2 linked regions of the Caenorhabditis elegans genome follow. Each later gene encodes a partner of the first gene's protein in a complex. Each region holds a gene or a part of one and is shown in the gene's direction. Other genes may lie near its edges. The genes, in order: cfp-1 and wdr-5.1.

Evidence for each region.
Region 2: cfp-1 (region 1) and wdr-5.1 share a complex: the UniProt entries of both Caenorhabditis elegans proteins name them as parts of the SET2 complex.

What each region holds. Positions count from the first base shown.
Region 1 is NC_003282.8:14,075,845-14,084,354, forward strand, and holds cfp-1 (CXXC-type zinc finger protein 1), read left to right. Parts: upstream 1-1,596; 5' UTR 1,597-1,605; coding exon 1,606-1,774; intron 1,775-2,841; coding exon 2,842-3,125; intron 3,126-4,304; coding exon 4,305-4,655; intron 4,656-5,584; coding exon 5,585-5,895; intron 5,896-6,120; coding exon 6,121-6,326; intron 6,327-6,974; coding exon 6,975-7,180; 3' UTR 7,181-7,723; downstream 7,724-8,510. Other genes in the region: ccar-1 (SAP domain-containing ribonucleoprotein), read left to right, coding at 1-217, 279-511, 564-761; F52B11.2 (putative phosphomannomutase), read left to right, coding at 7,724-7,795, 7,945-8,068, 8,129-8,510. UniProt on the Caenorhabditis elegans protein: Transcriptional activator that exhibits a unique DNA binding specificity for CpG motifs; enriched at promoters containing the trimethylation mark on histone H3 'Lys-4' (H3K4me3).
Region 2 is NC_003281.10:3,698,375-3,706,884, forward strand, and holds wdr-5.1 (WD repeat-containing protein wdr-5.1), read left to right. Parts: upstream 1-6,910; 5' UTR 6,911-6,912; coding exon 6,913-7,026; intron 7,027-7,089; coding exon 7,090-7,347; intron 7,348-7,393; coding exon 7,394-8,051; intron 8,052-8,102; coding exon 8,103-8,203; 3' UTR 8,204-8,410; downstream 8,411-8,510. Other genes in the region: cyn-9 (Peptidyl-prolyl cis-trans isomerase 9), read right to left, coding at 23-346, 744-947, 993-1,120, 1,172-1,259; pdi-1 (Protein disulfide-isomerase 1), read right to left, coding at 1,478-1,654, 1,705-2,511, 2,562-2,945, 2,992-3,081; C14B1.2 (Conserved plasma membrane protein), read left to right, coding at 3,953-4,051, 4,096-4,212, 4,267-4,398, 4,448-4,696; C14B1.3 (F-box domain-containing protein), read left to right, coding at 5,282-5,346, 5,398-5,665, 5,714-5,841, 5,889-6,582. UniProt on the Caenorhabditis elegans protein: Contributes to histone modification. May position the N-terminus of histone H3 for efficient trimethylation at 'Lys-4'. Required for di- and trimethylation, particularly for the trimethylation at 'Lys-4' of histone H3.

The sequences.
Region 1 (8,510 bases):
TTGATTCGAGGATTCGGTTACAATTTGGCGAAGAGCATGGAACCAGCTGATTCGGGAGCGGCGGTAAAATCATCGGAAGTTTCTGCTTCGTCGGATGGAGTCGTTATTATCAATGGATCAGCGGTGAATGTTGTGCAGAAGATGAAGCTGCTGAAGCAAGTTGAAAAGGAGAGAGATGAGGCGAAGAGTACTGTTAGTGAGCAGCTTTCATTAATCGGTAGGGATTAAATATAATTGTTTTTGTTTTTAAAAAAATTCTTTAATATTTCAATTTTCAGAGCAACTTCGAGAAGCCAAGGCTGAAATCGACAAGAAAAAGAAGGACATTGACTCTCACTACCACAAGTCCAACAAGAAATTGAATGAGACAAGTGCTCAGCTGAAGTCCACTCAAGATGAGAATTCTGCTCTGAAACAGGCCCTTCAAGACTGCAAACGACATGCTGATCGCATTTTTTCTGTAGTTGAGAAGGTTATGCCACCACCACCAAAGAAGGAGGAGAAGAGCAAGGTAATTCTGAAAATTTGGTTAATTTTGTTTTAAAAGTAATAATTTATTTCAGAAGGACGAAAAGGAGAAAACCGATAAGAAGGATGACAAAGTATCCGAGAAATCCGCTGAAAAATCAACTGAAGAACCTTCTCAAGAAGTTCCAGCGAGTGCTGAGCAGGCTGCTGAGCCATCTACAGAAGCAGAACCAATTGTTATTGATGAGTCTGAGGATAAAGACGCAGAAGTTGTGGAAGAATCCAAGGAATAGAAAAAACAAATCTCTCCCTCTACAATTAATGATCTATTTTTTTCTTCTTTTTTTTGGTTTTCTTTAACTTTTAAATGTTGTTCTTTAAATGACGTCCCGTAAATAACCATAATATATCTAAATAAATGAAATATATATATTCGTGATATTGTATACTGTTAGGATGGTTTAGAATTCCATAAGTTTTATCAGATTTTTCAGATTGGCAGCAAATGGTGATCCGGAAAATGAAAATATTTTCCGATATTTCGACAAAAAAAATCAATTTTTCCGGAAAAACTTGATTTTACCTTTTTGAGAAGAAAAAAAGATAAAATGTTGAATTTTTGTTAATTTTTAAGAAAAAAACTTGTTTTTTCGGGAAAATCGACAATGTTCAATGAAAAATTCGATTTTTCGACCAAAAAATTAGAAAATTGCGTCATTTTTCGTATTTTCAGGCAAAATTTGATAAAACATTGAAATTTTCCCCTTTTTTCCAAAAATTCTCAATTTTTTCTCCAATTTTCCGGAATTTCGAAAAAAAAAATGTATTTTTCCGCAAAACTAGCTTCAAATTTTGACCATTTTTCGTATTTTTTAGAGGAGAAAAAAAAATATTTTTCTGAATAAAATTAGCGAAATTTGATCAATGTTGGGATTTTTGTTAAGTTTTGTAAATTTTTGAGAAAAAATTGCGTCATTTTTCGTATTTTTTGGCTAAATTTGTTAAAAAATTGAAATTTTCCCCTATTTCCGAAAAATTCAAGATTAAATCGACGATTTTTCGCTAAAAAATTGGCTTTTTAACCATTTTTTTTTTCGTATTTTTTGGCTAAAAATATGTTTTTTTTAGATGAGCAGTATGTCAAATAAAGAAATCGAAGATAATGAGGATGTATGGAAGGAAAGATGTATGAATTGTATTCGATGTAACGATGAAAAGAATTGTGGAACATGTTGGCCGTGTCGAAATGGAAAAACTTGTGATATGCGGAAATGTTTCTCAGCGAAAAGATTATATAATGAGAAAGGTTTATATTTGGAGGAAATTCTTTTCAAAAATTGATTTCTCTGAGCTCAGTTCTAGTGAGGCAAAGTGCATGGAAACCTAGGCAACCGGCAAAAGCTTGTAGCTCACCTGCTTCCATGATAAATTGCGGATTTTCGGGCATAAAATTTAATTTTTATTCGTTTTTTTTCCATTTTTCTACGTCATTTTTAACGAATTTTCATCTTTTACAATGTCTGCGTCTCCTGCAGGCGATTTTCGAAGGCATTTTCAAATAACATTTTTTTATTTTACAGGTGGAGTACAGAAATTTCGTTTTTTCAACCAGAAATTGCCGAAACTAACGTATTTCCTGTAGAAATGCTCTGAAAATTTCTCAAAAAAAGGTTATGGAACTTGAAAGTTTTGGAAAAAATACCTATTTTAAGCTAAATCTCAAACTTTTTTTGGCAAAATTTGAAATTTTTGCTGAAAATAGGCTTTTTTCCCAAGTTTTGAAGCCCCTTAACTTCTTTTTTCAGAAAATTTCAGCGCATTTCATGAAGAAATTCGGTAGTTTGGGCGATTTTTGATTTAAAAAGCAAAATTTCGTCATTTCACCCTTAAATAGACTAAAAATGGCTTGAAACTACCGATTTTAATTATAAAATTTCTCTGAAAATTTCCCAATTCTTCTAAAATCTGAAATTTCGCAAATTTTTTTTCCCACAATGGCTGAAATCCAGCTTCTTAAGAAATTATCTCAATTTAGCGTATATTTTGGTAGTTTTTTCGCATTTTTTTTTTTGAGAATTTAGGCACATTTTTAGGTCGATAGGCATCTGGCTAAAATTGATGCCTATAGGCTGAAAACGATCCTAAATCAACAAAAAAATGCGATAAATGGTGAAAATTTAATTTAAAATATCGGAATTTCAGTTGCTAGAAAAGGGAAAAGTTGGCAAAAATTAGAATTTTTAGTAAAATTTAACTTTCTTTTCAAAATTTAATTTTTTCGAGAATTCTCATCACGAAATTCGGTCTTTTCCGGTCAGTTTCAGTCTTTTTTTTTAACGAAAAAAACCCTCCATTTCAATTCAATAATTCCAGTAAAAAGACAAACCGACGAAAATCTGAAGGCTATAATGGCAAAAACAGCACAACGAGAAGCCGCTCATCAGGCAGCCACAACCACAGCACCAAGTGCTCCGGTGGTAATTGAGCAACAAGTTGAAAAGAAGAAGCGAGGACGAAAGAAGGGCTCTGGGAATGGAGGAGCTGCTGCTGCTGCACAACAACGGAAGGCTAATATTATAAATGAACGAGATTATGTACCGAATAGGCCGACGAGGCAACAGTCGGCTGATTTGAGAAGGAAACGGACACAGTTGAATGTTAGTATTTATTACTGTGGAAACTGTACAAATCCGAGGATTTTGCAGTGTCGCACAGAAATAGCGGAGGCGGAGCGTAATTTCGCAAGCCTGCGGCACGGTTTTTCCTCTTTTTTTGTTGATTTTTTGCAATAAAGTTTCGATTTTTATCTCTTGTTTCGAATAAAAATGTTCTTCAATGCGATTTTTGAGAATTAACTTGGTTAGCATTTTAATTCGAAAAAAGACGGTAAAATCGAAATTTTATCAAAAAAAAATCTACAAAAAAGAAGGAAAAAACCGTGCCGCAGGGTAGCGAAATTAGGCTCCTCCTCTACTCCTGTGCGGCACTGATTTTCACGAATCGATCGTTTAATTTGTGTATACAGTTGAATGTGAGACTATTACTGCTGAAACTAAACAACAAAATCCGCGAAAATCCGTGAATTTTGCAGCGGCGCACAGAAATAGAGGCGTAGCGTAATTTCGGAAGCCTGCGGTACGGTTTTTCGAGGCACCACGTTTTGAAGACCTGTTCAAAAACAAGATCCTCCAAAACAAGATCTACGTTTTCAGGATCTGGCACCGTGCCAACTGCGGTTTTCTCGATGAAAAACGAAACAACGATGCTCCGATGTTACGCGTTGTTTAGCGTTCAGAAAACTATTTTTGAAATTTTCTTCTAGAAGATACGCTAAACAACGCGCGACGCGTAACATCGGAGCATCGTTGTTTCGTTTTTCATCGAGAAAACCGCAGTTGGCACGGTGCCAGATCCTGAAAACGTAGATCTTGTTTTTGAACAGATCTTGAAAGCGTGGTGCCTCGAAAAACCGTGCAGCAGGGTTGAAGTTGAATGTTAGTATATTACTGTTGAAACTGAACGATCAAATCTGTGAATTTCGCAGCGTCGCACAGAAATAGAGGCGGAGCGTAATTTTGCAACCCTGCGGCACAATTTTTTCTCCTTTTTTCGAATAAAAATGTTATCCAATTTTTATTCTCATAAAATATCATACGAACTAAATTGGAGACACATTTTCTGTCGAAAAAGGAGGAAAAACCGTGCCGCAGGGTTGCAAAATTACGCTCCGCCTCTATTTCCGTGCGGCGCTGCTTTTCACGAATTGATCGTTTAATTTCTACAGGAAAAACCTGCCGAACTAATTAAAATTGAAAAAAAAAATCAATTTTTTCCAGGCAGAACCCGATAAACATCCTCGTCAATGTCTCAATCCGAATTGTATTTACGAATCTCGAATCGATAGCAAATATTGTTCCGATGAGTGTGGAAAAGAGCTCGCCAGAATGCGGCTCACTGAAATTCTACCGAATCGCTGTAAACAGTACTTTTTCGAGGGCCCATCCGGTGGGCCGCGCAGTTTGGAGGACGAAATCAAGCCGAAACGGGCTAAAATCAATCGAGAAGTTCAGAAATTGACGGAATCCGAAAAGAATATGATGGCATTTTTGAATAAGCTCGTCGAGTTCATAAAGACACAGTTGAAACTTCAACCGTTGGGCACAGAGGAGAGATATGATGATAATTTGGTACATTTTTGGCTCATTTGCTCAAATGACAAAAAAAAAATCGCCTTTTCGCTTCTTAAATTCACAAAAAATTGTTTTTTAGCCGAAAAACTAACAAAAAACCTGTTAAAATTGTCATTTGTCGATTTACGTAGCTCGTGTACTCCTCGAGGAGAAGTTTGTCTTAATTTTGCACAGGATTTCCTTGATTTTGGACTATTTTCTACGATTACTCTGGAAATATCGTAATTTCACAAGATTTTAACTTTTCAAAGGCACACGGATTTATTTAAATGGGTCTCGATGCGAAAAAGTTTATGGTAGCTTTTTTGTTTCATTTTGCAATGAAATTACCTCATTTTTAGCGAATTTTGCCGTTTTCTTGCCATTTTTCTCTTTTTTTCAGGCCAAAAAACGGGAATTTGCACATTTTTTAATAGAGAGAAGCTTATTTTTGAACTTTGCAAGTTGATTTTAAACAATTTTAACAGAAACAATGAAAAGAAACCCAAAAACCCGTTTTAGCGATTTTTTCCGTTTTCTTTTCATTTTTTCCATTAAAAATTGTTTTAGATAAGTTTCAAGGTACAAAAAATCTTTTCTCCATTAAAAATGTGTCCTTTCCCCATTTTTCGGCCTGAAAAACAAGAGAAATGAACGAAAAGTACAAAATTCGCTAAAAACGAAGTAATTTTATTGAACCATAAACTTGTTTGCGCGTCGAGACCCATCTGAATGAATTCGTGTGCCTTTAGGAACTTGAAATCTTGTGAAATTATCAAATTTTCAGTGTAATTGTAGAAAAGAGTCCAAAATGAAGGAGATCCTCTACAAAAATTGATGCAAACTTCTCCTCGAGGAGTGCACGAGCCACGTAAATCGACATATGGCCGTGTTAGAGCTTTACACGGTCATTTTCATTAATAAGTAAAAAAATTCAATTTTTTCAGTACGAAGGCTGTATCGTGTGTGGTCTCCCGGACATTCCCCTCCTAAAATACACAAAACACATTGAGCTGTGTTGGGCTCGAAGCGAAAAGGCAATCTCATTCGGAGCACCGGAGAAGAATAACGACATGTTTTATTGTGAAAAATATGATTCGCGAACGAATTCTTTCTGTAAACGGCTGAAATCTCTGTGCCCAGAACATCGAAAACTGGGCGATGAACAGCATTTGAAAGTGTGCGGTTATCCGAAGAAATGGGAAGATGGAATGATTGAGACGGCGAAGACAGTTTCAGAATTGATTGAAATGGAAGAGTTAGTGGAGAATTTGGAGAATTTTTTGATGGCCGAGGATCCGACAAGAGATTTAGAGCTTTTTTTGCTCGTTTTTGCGTGAAAAATTGTGAAAAAATGACCGAAAAAAAAGAAAAATTCGGGAAAAATAGCAAAAAAATCGCTGAATCTTGTCAGATCTTCGACCGTGGCCGAGAAAAACCTCGGCCATTCAGCAAATAAAATTGCAAATCAATCAATTTTCAGCCCATTCGGTGAGGAAGGCTGTCGAACGAAGAAGGACGCGTGTCACAAGCATCACAAATGGATACCATCGTTGAGAGGAACTATTGAGCTGGAACAAGCTTGTCTGTTTCAGAAAATGTATGAGCTGTGCCACGAGATGCACAAATTGAATGCTCACGCCGAATGGACAACGAATGCTCTGTCGATTATGATGCACAAACAGCCGAGTACGGAAAAATGCTCATTTTTTCTGCGAAATTTTGCGATTTTCGCGCCAAAATTACGGTGGCCGGTCTCGACACGACAATTTTTTGTTGGGTGCAAAAATGTGTGCGCCTTTGAAGATTACTGTAATTTCAAATTTTGGTTTTTTTTTAACTTTTTTATCGGAAAACTATAAAAATCACTGGAAATTCCGCTGCAACTAAAATTTAAAGTTCCAGTAATCTTTAAAGGCGCACAGATTTTTGCAGTTAGCGAAAATTTGTCGCGTCGAGACCAGGCACTGCATTTTTCGCACAAACTGCCCCGTGTCGATTTACGGGAATTGTGTACTCCCCGAGGAGAAGTTTGAGAATTTTACAGTTTTTGTCGAAAAGCTTGAATTTGGACCAATTTCTCTAATTTTTTTTGTATTTAACGGTCAAAAAGCCGAATTTGCTGTTAAAAGCAACTGAAAAAAATTAAAAAATTGGCGATTTCACCGTTAAATATGTTATTAATCAGCAAAAAAAATTCAAAATCTGGTTTTTCCAGGGAAAACCGCTTCTGCTCGAGGAGTACACGAGCTCCGTAAATCGACACATATCCCGTGTCTGAATGAGAAAATCCTCAAAATTTCACAGATTTTTAAATCTAAAAATGAAATTTTACAGATATTATTGATTCCGAGCAAATGTCCCTATTCAACAAGTCCCAATCCACGTCATCATCCGCCTCGGCTCACGGAGCAACGACACCAATCAGCTCAACATCATCATCATCATCATCATCATCAAAAAACGATGATGAAATGGAAGATACCGCCGAATTTCTAGCAAATCTGGCTGTACAGAAGGAGGAGGAGACGCAGAATAATTAAAATTTCCCTATTTTTTTTAGTTTTTTCCTCAAAACTATCATATTCTTTCATTTCCGTGGAATTTCGTATCTTTTTTCCAAATCTGAACAACATTTTTTTCTGTTTGAATAGGTGTCGTCCTGAAATATGGCGGAGAGAGAGAGAGTGAAGAGACGCAGACACTCTAACGACACGTTGCGTATATTACACGAAGCACTGGCTTTTTCATTCGTTGTTCTTCAAAATTTTTATGATTTTTATCTTTTGAACAAAAAACAAATTGAACTTACCCTTCTTTATATTATTATTTTATTTATTTTCTTCTAGTTTTCCAAAAACCTTTTTTTGTTCTATTTTTTGTTTCACCCAATTTCTCTCTATCGGTGTTCTTCATTTTGATCCTCAACTATTCACTCATCTCTCTTTATACATTTTGGTCTCTCTCTCGAAGAAAATTGACATTAAATGTATTATTTTCCATTTTCCGAATTTTTCAACAAAAAACTTTTATTCCAAAAAAAATCCTTAAAAAATTTAAAAAAAAACACCAAAAAAATTTTTCAGATGACTTCTCCAGCGAGTAGCCGAACAATTTTGGTGTTCGACGTCGATGGAACACTCACTGCTGCTCGTCAGGTTAGTCTGCGAGATTTTTGCGATACGGTACCTGGGTCTCGACACGACAATGCGCCTTTGAAGAGTATGTCGTGTCGAGACCAGGCGCCGTTTTTGGGGGGCAAAATTTTGCTTCTACATCTAAATTTAAAAAACCCCAACATTTTCAGACTATTACGCCTGAAATGCGAGAATTCCTGATCGAGGCTCGCAAGCGTGTCCCGCTGGCAATCGTCGGAGGATCGGACTTTAAGAAGATCACAGAGCAGCTGGCAGATCACGATAAGGATTTGTGTATGTCTTTGCTAATTTTTTTTTTTGAATTACAAATCCTAATTTCCTCATTTTTTCCAGTGCTCTCCCTGTTCGACTACACATTCTCGGAGAACGGGCTCTACGGATTCAAGGGCACCGAACCGTATCCAGTACAATCAATCCAGAAAGCCATCGGCGATGCGAAGCTCCAAGAGCTCATCAATTTTGCTCTCCGCTACATGTCTGACATTCAACTTCCTGTGAAACGTGGAAATTTCGTCGAATTCCGAAACGGGATGATCAATTTGTCGCCTATTGGACGGAGTTGCTCACAAGAGGAACGAATGCAATTTGTGGAGTTTGATAAGAAGCACGGAATTCGCCAAAAGTTCACCGAGCAGCTCCGCGAGAAGTTCGGGCAATACGGGCTCCAGTTTGCAATCGGAGGACAAATTAGTGTTGATGTATTCCCTACTGGATG
Region 2 (8,510 bases), on another chromosome or scaffold:
AATTTTTCATTACAAAATAAACCTTATAGTCGCGATTCTTCTCATGAGATCTAGATCTTGATCTTCTCGATCGATACTCTCTTCTCTTATCATTTCTCATTTCATGCTTCTTCTCATTGTCATCATCACGATAGAGCCAAGATTTCGGGCATTTCGGGATCTCATTGTCCCTTGCGTTATTATTTTTCTCTTCGAGAGCAGCGGCGAGCTCTTCATCTGTCTTCAATGGTTTCTTCTTTTTCACGAGTTCTCCACAATTGGAGATCAAAACTTTTGCGAGTGGTTTCGATTTATCATCAACCGCAAGATTGTCGATGTAATCTACAACGTTTTGTCCTTTGACAACCTGGAATTCAATTTATTTTAACATTAAAGTATAAAAGTATCGTAATTTCAACAGATTTTGACTTAAAGGCGCACGGCTTTAAAGAGATGGGTCTCGGCGTGCTAAAAATTTATAGTAGTTGGTTTTTTTGTTCATTTTTCTGTTATTTTGAAATCGTTTTAAATCGGTTTTCCCTGTAAAAATGATTTTATGAACAAAACATTACTTTTTATTTTAAAACTGAAAAACAATTTTTAACAAAGTGAAAACAGACGCAAAACTTCAAAAATGACTACCATAAACTGTCTTTCGCGCCGAGACCCATCTGAATAAATCTCTGCGCCTTTATGTTAGAATCTCGTGAAATCATGATTTTATAATTATAAAATTAATATATTCTTTAAAATCCATTATGCACCTCTCCAAAAACAACATGTTTTCCATTGCAATGTGGAGCTGCAGCCGTTGTGATGAAAAATTGAGAAGAATTTGAATTTGGTCCTTTATTGGCCATTGACAACAAATAGGGCCTTGAGTGCTTTAATTTGAACTTTTCATCGTCAAAGTATCGTCCGTAGATCGAGAATCCTCCTCTACCATCTCCTTCTGTGATGTCTCCTCCCTAAATCGTCAATTTTTCAAAAATTTCAGCTAAAAACCGCCGGACCTGGATCATAAACTTCTTTACAATTCTATGAAATTCGTTTTGTTTGTAATGAAGCCGTGCTTTATTATTTGGAGTCATTCCGACTTCTCCTGTGCACAATGCTCGAAAGTTTTCACATGTTTTAGGTGCTGAAAAATAATTGATTTTTTTTAAATTAATTTTCTGGGCAGATTTCTAACCATCTTCGACAAAAAGTCGTATTTCAATTCTTCCAATCAGATTCTCATCGACTGAAATATCTAGGAACACTCTTTTTTCAGCGGCCATTCGCAGCCTGAAAATGGTTTTGGTTTCGATTCGAAATTTTAAATTCCGAAATAAAGAAATATAATTTCACAGAAGCCTCAACGAAACAAAAAACATTCTCCGGGATTCAATTTTTAGGGTTTTATATATATAATATATACGGATGGAAACAAAAAAAAACGAGTAATCACAATTCAACGCCGTGACTTCAAACAATAAATAACATATATATTATTAATTTAAAGCTCTTCGTGATCCTGAGATGCGGTTTCAGATTCGGAAGCAGATCCAGCATACTTGTTGACAAATTCTTCGAACTTCTCGAGGTTTCTGTCTCCATCATAGTCGACTGGGGTAGAAGATCCGGCTGGCCACAGCTTCAGGGTTGGGAAAGAGTTGACCTTGACGTCGGCAAGCTGAAAATGGAAATAATAATTATGAATATTGATACTTTCAAAATTCTTACCTCGTTGAGAGTAGCATCAAGCTTTGCAATGACAACATTTGGGTTGGACTCGTACTTCTCAGCAAGCTCATCCCAAACTGGAACCAGTTGCTTGCAATGTCCGCACCATGGGGCGTAGAATTTGACGAAGACAGTCTTGGTTTCATCAAGGGCAATTTCGTTGAAGTTGGAGGCGACGAGAACCTTAACTGGGAGTGCATTCCAATCTTCTGGAAGATCTTGAGCCTTCAAGTCTTGAGCAGACTTTCCTTCCAAATATGAGTTGGTGAAAGCTTCGAAATCTTCTCCTTCTTGTGGCTTGAACTTCTCAACTTGATCGGCAAGGCTGACAATTCTGTTGGCTGGGGTGTTCTTGGCATCGACTCCGAGGAACTCGAGAATTCTTGCGTTCTCTTCAACATCAACGTCGAGAAGAACAAAGACGATCTTAGCACGGAACTTCTTAGCGACCTCAGTGAACTTGGCAATAGTCTCATCGAAAGAAGAGTCTGACTTGCGGATGATCAAAAAGTGGAACTTTTTGAGGTCTCCTCCGACGATTTCTTGAGCAGATTCGTGGGTGAACTCGGTCACGGCAGAGAGCTTGTAAGCGTGGAGCCATTGCTTAAGAGCGATGGTGTTGGTGATTTCAGCTTCAGCAATTGTGCTAGTCTCGCTGTCGTCTCCATCAGTGCGGATAAGAGCGACTCCATCTTCATTCAAAGATGCGGCAGCAGCAACCTCAGCAGAACCGGCAACGGCGAAGAATGCGTCATCGACAGAATCAGCAACTTCGTTGTAGATGGTAGCAGCATCAGATTTCGCGTCCTGAAAAATAAATAAATTAAATAGGTTGTACTTTTTATGTAAAAAAATACCTTGAAGTATCCAAGAACAACAACTCTGGTCTTTCCCTTCAATTCCTCGAGTTGCTCAACTGACTCAACAGTGGTAACAGTTGGTCCACTCTTCTTCTTGACCCAATCGACAATTTGAGCGGTGGCGCGTCCTCCGGTGTATTTCGTTGGCTTTCCACTCTTGAAGTAGAGGATAGTTGGATATCCACGGACCTCGAACTTGGATGCAAGAGCTTGGTTTTCGGTGGCGTCAACCTTGGCGAGCTTGATATCGGATCCTTCCTCCTTCAGCAAATCGGCGGCTTCGTCGTACTTTGGAGCAAGAGACTTGCAATGTACACACCATGGAGCATAGAATTTGACTAGAACAAACTCATTTCCATTGATAGTTTCTTCGAAATTGCTCTGAAAACAGTTTTTTAGAAGATAATGATCAGAATAAATGTTATACTTCAGTGAGAACAAGCACGTTTTCGCTGTCAGCAACAACTGCTCCGATTGATGCGACCAGGAGGAAGATAAAGGACACTGACAGTGACATAATTACCTGAAAATTTAAAAAAATAGTAATAGAAAATTTGAGGAAGTTATCATTGAAGAGAAAAGAGGTATAGACAACGATAAGTGTGCAAACAATACGTTAGCCATTACTTTGCGATCAAAAAAGTAGGGTATGAGTATTGACAAACGCAGTCAATTTTTCTTTTAAAAAATCCTCGTCGTTCACAACCTGCTAGGAAGAGTGCGAGCGACGAGAAGAGAAGGAGAATAAGCGCACGTTGTAAAACAGAGTAACGAGAGAAAGAGAAGAGACCGTGAACGCCCCGGCAGAGACAACGAGGACCGCGAAACTGCAAGACGAATGGACAGTGCAGTATTGACACGTCAGCATACGCGTGTACGGGAGATGTCCACGTGGACGTCACCGTGGCGACCTTTATGACTTATTGAGATGAGAGTTCGCGCATTTAATGGAAAATTAATTGTGTTCTAAACCTTAAAACAGTGAGAAAATGAACAAAACACATCGAACTGAAAGTTTGTGCAACTACAATGCTAAAGGAACGTCGACGGCCCGGAAATGAGAGTCTATTCGAATATAATTATGCTTATCTTCAACTTAAAATTATTCTGAACCCAAAAAATTTATTCGGAATGGGCAAGTTTATCAAAAAAGTTGTTTTTGGAACTAAAATTAGCTCAAAAAATGACTTTAAAAACTGGGTCAAATAATCACTCTTTTAAAGACGCACCGGATTTAAAGATATGGTCTCGAAGCGCTGTATACAGTGTAGTCCGAGTGGACAATCAAATACTTGTTTCAATGATTTCTAATTTCATTTTTTTTTGGAAATTCTTTTTTCTTTCGTGATTTTGTCACATACATATTACATTATATTCAGGTTTCCGCTATGAAAATCCCACTAATCCTGTTGCTGGTTGTTTCAATTCAATGTTTCTATGTGAGAAACCAGACTGAAGACTCGATGGCAGAAGGATTACGTTCGAAGGTGGGCTCAAAATGAGGATATATCAAAACACATAAATATTAAAGGATAATAGTATCGAATTGTTCGGTCAACGCGTGGAGGTGCCGTCGTGGTTGAATACGGCAGCTGAGAAAACAAGAGGAATGTTTGACTCTGTGACAGGTCTTTTCGGAAAGAGTACAGTAAGTATATAACATCGACGGTGGGAGGGGTCATATTGACACAACCGTTTTTAGGCCACGTCGCGCAGATCGTCGGACGGCTTGATGACAAATCTGAAGAAGGATGAGGCGACAAGGATTTGGTTTGCAGTCTATCTCAACATCATTCTCGTTGCTCTGATTTACGTTTTCATCACGATTAAGCTGGTAAAAAATGATTACACTAAAGATTAAAGCTAGATAATTGAATTTTTAGGCACTCATGTCACTGAGCGAAGGAAAAACTGAGCGCAAGAAACGGAACACCTTCAGTTCACACGTTGCCTACGATTCCCCCGACTATAATGTCCCATTGACCAGTATTGCAACAAGAGAGATTCCAAGAGGTCCCGTTCAAGATGAAGATTTCGAGATGGCTTTGGAAGTCCGAGAGGATGAGCAAATCGCCATTCCGAACCCTGATCTCCGCAGTGATTTATCCACGGAATTTGATGATAATCACTAGTTCTAATTCATGTTCAAAATTTTTGTAAATAGCATCACTAATCTATTCCAATTTGACAGGTTCCTATTGCACGAGTATTTCTTCATAAACACGGTTATTCGTTTTTTTTTCCTTTTTAGAAACACAAATCTGAAGAACATGAATTGCTTGACCTTGGTATTGGCGGCGATAACCTAGAAAGTGGGACAAGTTATTTCTTGCTGTCCACGTATCTTTGGATAAGGAAGATCATCAATGTTTCGTAACCTGTAAAACTAAGAGAAGAGAAAGACAAATATATATCAACTAATCTAAAAAGTTGCAGTCAGCAAGATGAGGAAAAAAATAAAATATATAAAGAAGTTGAATATCTAGAGGTTCTCAATATTTTTGTCAGAAAGTTTTTTTCTCATTCTCAAAATAGCATTGAATATTTTCTTATTAATATTTTTGCTTTAAAATAATAATATTAACAGCGTGATAGTTTTTTGGAACACGAATATCACATGCATGCGCATTTCGCAAGACTTCCATTCTCTGCGTCTCTCTCCTTCTGACTCATTTCTTCTCTTTAAAATCGAAAAATATTGTTCTCATCGACCCCAAATGTTTAAAGCGTTCTCATCGATAATGCAAAGTCTACAGTTCAAAACCGATGTTCCAGTGATAATGTGAGTTTTTTCTTAATTAAAATATCAATTTTTCACCTAGAATTATTTCAGAGATGCAGAAACTGTGCCGAACGAATGTTTCTCGCCAATTTTCCGAAGGCTGGACAAAAAATCACTTCTAAACTGCCAATTGGCTTGCCATCGATTCAATGATTTGATATCAAGTGACTCGTTTTGGATTGAATATGCTCGAATTTTAAATATATCAAATGTTCTTCCATCTTTGGAGTGGAGAAGAGCAGCGACACAGAAGAAGTTTGTTGGAAATGAAGACAATGAAATTGACACTTCAAGTTTTAATTTTAATATTAAAAAAATAGTAGGTTATCGCATTTTATAGTAATAAAATTACAAAGTTTTACTTCAGGTTCTGTCTGGAAGAGGCTACTCACCAATCACTCCGCTTTTCATTTCTCATTTTGAAAATGCACGTGACAACACAATAAGTGGAACTCTCCGTTCAGATGATTTTTCAATCAGAGCGAATGGCAGTGGGTATGTCAATACTTTGTTCTTAAAATAATCAATATTTACAATTTCAGAATCCACATGGAAAGAGATGGAGGAAACGGTTGTGAACCACATCCGGATGTTTCCAAGTGCTTCGTATTTTCATTCACAGAGAGCTCAATCAGTGTTTTCATCGATTTGGTGAACTCTGGAATTGACCCATGGATCTTGGATCACGTTCGCCCGAGAATTAGAATTACACAGAAAGTCAATCATCGTAATGATTGTGCAGCCAGGCTCTCATTTGCTGCTCAGTTGAACTATCACGAGACTCAGTGGATTGAAAGATTTGGCCATGTACAAACTATGAGCAACACTGATCATAAAAGATATAAATCTGTAAATAAGGAATGGGCTCAATGGACTGGTCAACCTTGGGAAGATTGGACAATTGAGTTTGACGATTACCCGTCTGGAATTCGACATTTAACTATTCTGAATGAAGGTGAAGATAGACAATTTTGGAGAGGATTCTACGGACCAAAAGTTGCCAATATTCAAGTCGAAGTTATTCTGCCTGATGAGCCAATAGTTAAACCACTCGCTGTTGATTCCGAAAAATGCAATGAAGACGAGAATCCTAACGCTGAAGACGAGGATGATGACGATGATGAAGTACCGCCAAGAGTCGGAGTTTTTAGAATGCCACTCTTTCGTCGTGGTCGTCACATGTATGGAATTCCTCCCGCTGTGGCTCGTCATGAAGATGAAGACGAGGAAGATTAAATAATGCACCGACAATTTTTCGCTTAACTGTTTTATAAAGTGTTTGTATGACTGGAAAAGTTTGTTATATCTGTAATCGAATGAATATATAAATATTTTAACACGTATCAGACACGGATACATGTCATGACATGAGTTCATTAACGAAAAAAAAGAAATTCCGAAAAAAAAACTGCAAAAACATTGCGCGTCAAATTGTGTGTTCGCTGTGCATGCACCCTTGCCTCTGCGTACCGCACATTGCATCTTACGACGATTTCTATTTTATATTTTTTGAATGAATTTCTTCATTTTTCAACTTAATTTTTGATTTTTGCTGTGATTTCAGATATGGATACCAGCGAAAATGCTGCTTCAGCTGCCGAGCAACAGCCAACACAACAAATCGATCAATTAACAGTACCAAATGCTCCGGATGGAGGTTCTTCAGCTCCTGCTCCATCTGTAGGTTTCGTTATTGTTAAATAGTATATTTTTGAATAAGACTTCACAATAGTCAATTTCCAGACTTCTCCCAATTCAATTTCGCCATCAAATCCGACTGGCACACCCGCTCCAGGTGCCAGTGCCCAAACTCCCAATCCAAACGCCGCCGGAGCTTCAGCCTCGGGTTCAGCAAATTATAAGCTGATGTGTACATTGGAAGGACACACAAAATCGATTTCTTCAGCTAAATTTTCCCCATGTGGAAAGTATCTCGGAACAAGCAGCGCGGACAAAACCGTCAAAATCTGGAACATGGATCACATGATTTGTGAGCGAACTGTATGTTTCCGCTCATGAAAATTACAATTAATCCTTAAATTTTCAGCTCACCGGCCACAAACTGGGTGTAAACGATATAGCATGGAGTTCCGACAGCCGTTGTGTTGTCTCTGCTTCCGACGACAAAACACTGAAAATCTTCGAAATTGTAACGTCGAGAATGACCAAAACCTTGAAAGGACACAATAACTACGTCTTCTGCTGCAATTTCAACCCACAATCATCGCTCGTTGTCTCCGGATCATTCGATGAATCCGTTCGTATCTGGGATGTCAAGACAGGAATGTGCATAAAAACCCTCCCAGCACACTCAGATCCAGTGTCAGCAGTGTCTTTCAACAGAGACGGCAGCCTCATCGCATCGGGATCCTACGATGGTCTAGTTCGTATCTGGGACACTGCCAATGGGCAATGCATCAAGACTCTGGTCGACGACGAGAATCCTCCGGTGGCATTTGTAAAGTTCTCTCCAAACGGAAAATACATCCTCGCATCGAACCTCGACAGCACTTTGAAATTGTGGGATTTCTCGAAAGGAAAAACCCTGAAACAATACACTGGACACGAGAATAGCAAATATTGCATCTTCGCCAACTTCTCTGTTACCGGTGGAAAATGGATCATCAGTGGTTCCGAAGATTGTAAGATCTACATCTGGAATCTCCAGACTCGGGAAATAGTTCAATGTCTTGAAGGACACACACGTAAGTCGAAAAATAAAATAAAAATGCAAATTTAAATTTTTTCCATTTCAGAACCCGTGCTAGCCTCCGATTGTCATCCAGTTCAGAACATCATTGCCTCAGGAGCTCTCGAGCCAGACAACAAGATTCATATATGGCGCTCGGATGTTTAAATTGTTTAAATTTAATTAAAATTTCGAAAATTTGATTTATATTTACCCCTTGGTCACCGTGTATATATGCTTTTCCTTCTTGATCTCCTATATTCCTTGATTATAGAGGCGCGGTGGCCAGACACTTTTTTTTCTGAAACTTCGTATTTTCTGTCATTCCTTATATATTCTTCCTAATATAAAAATCCATAAATATTAATTTCCGTGGGATGATTGAGATGATCATTCAATTGATTCGTTTTATTTCGATATTCTATTTGATTTTCAGATTTAATTTTATTTTTCTGGATTGAGGCTGAAAATTTTA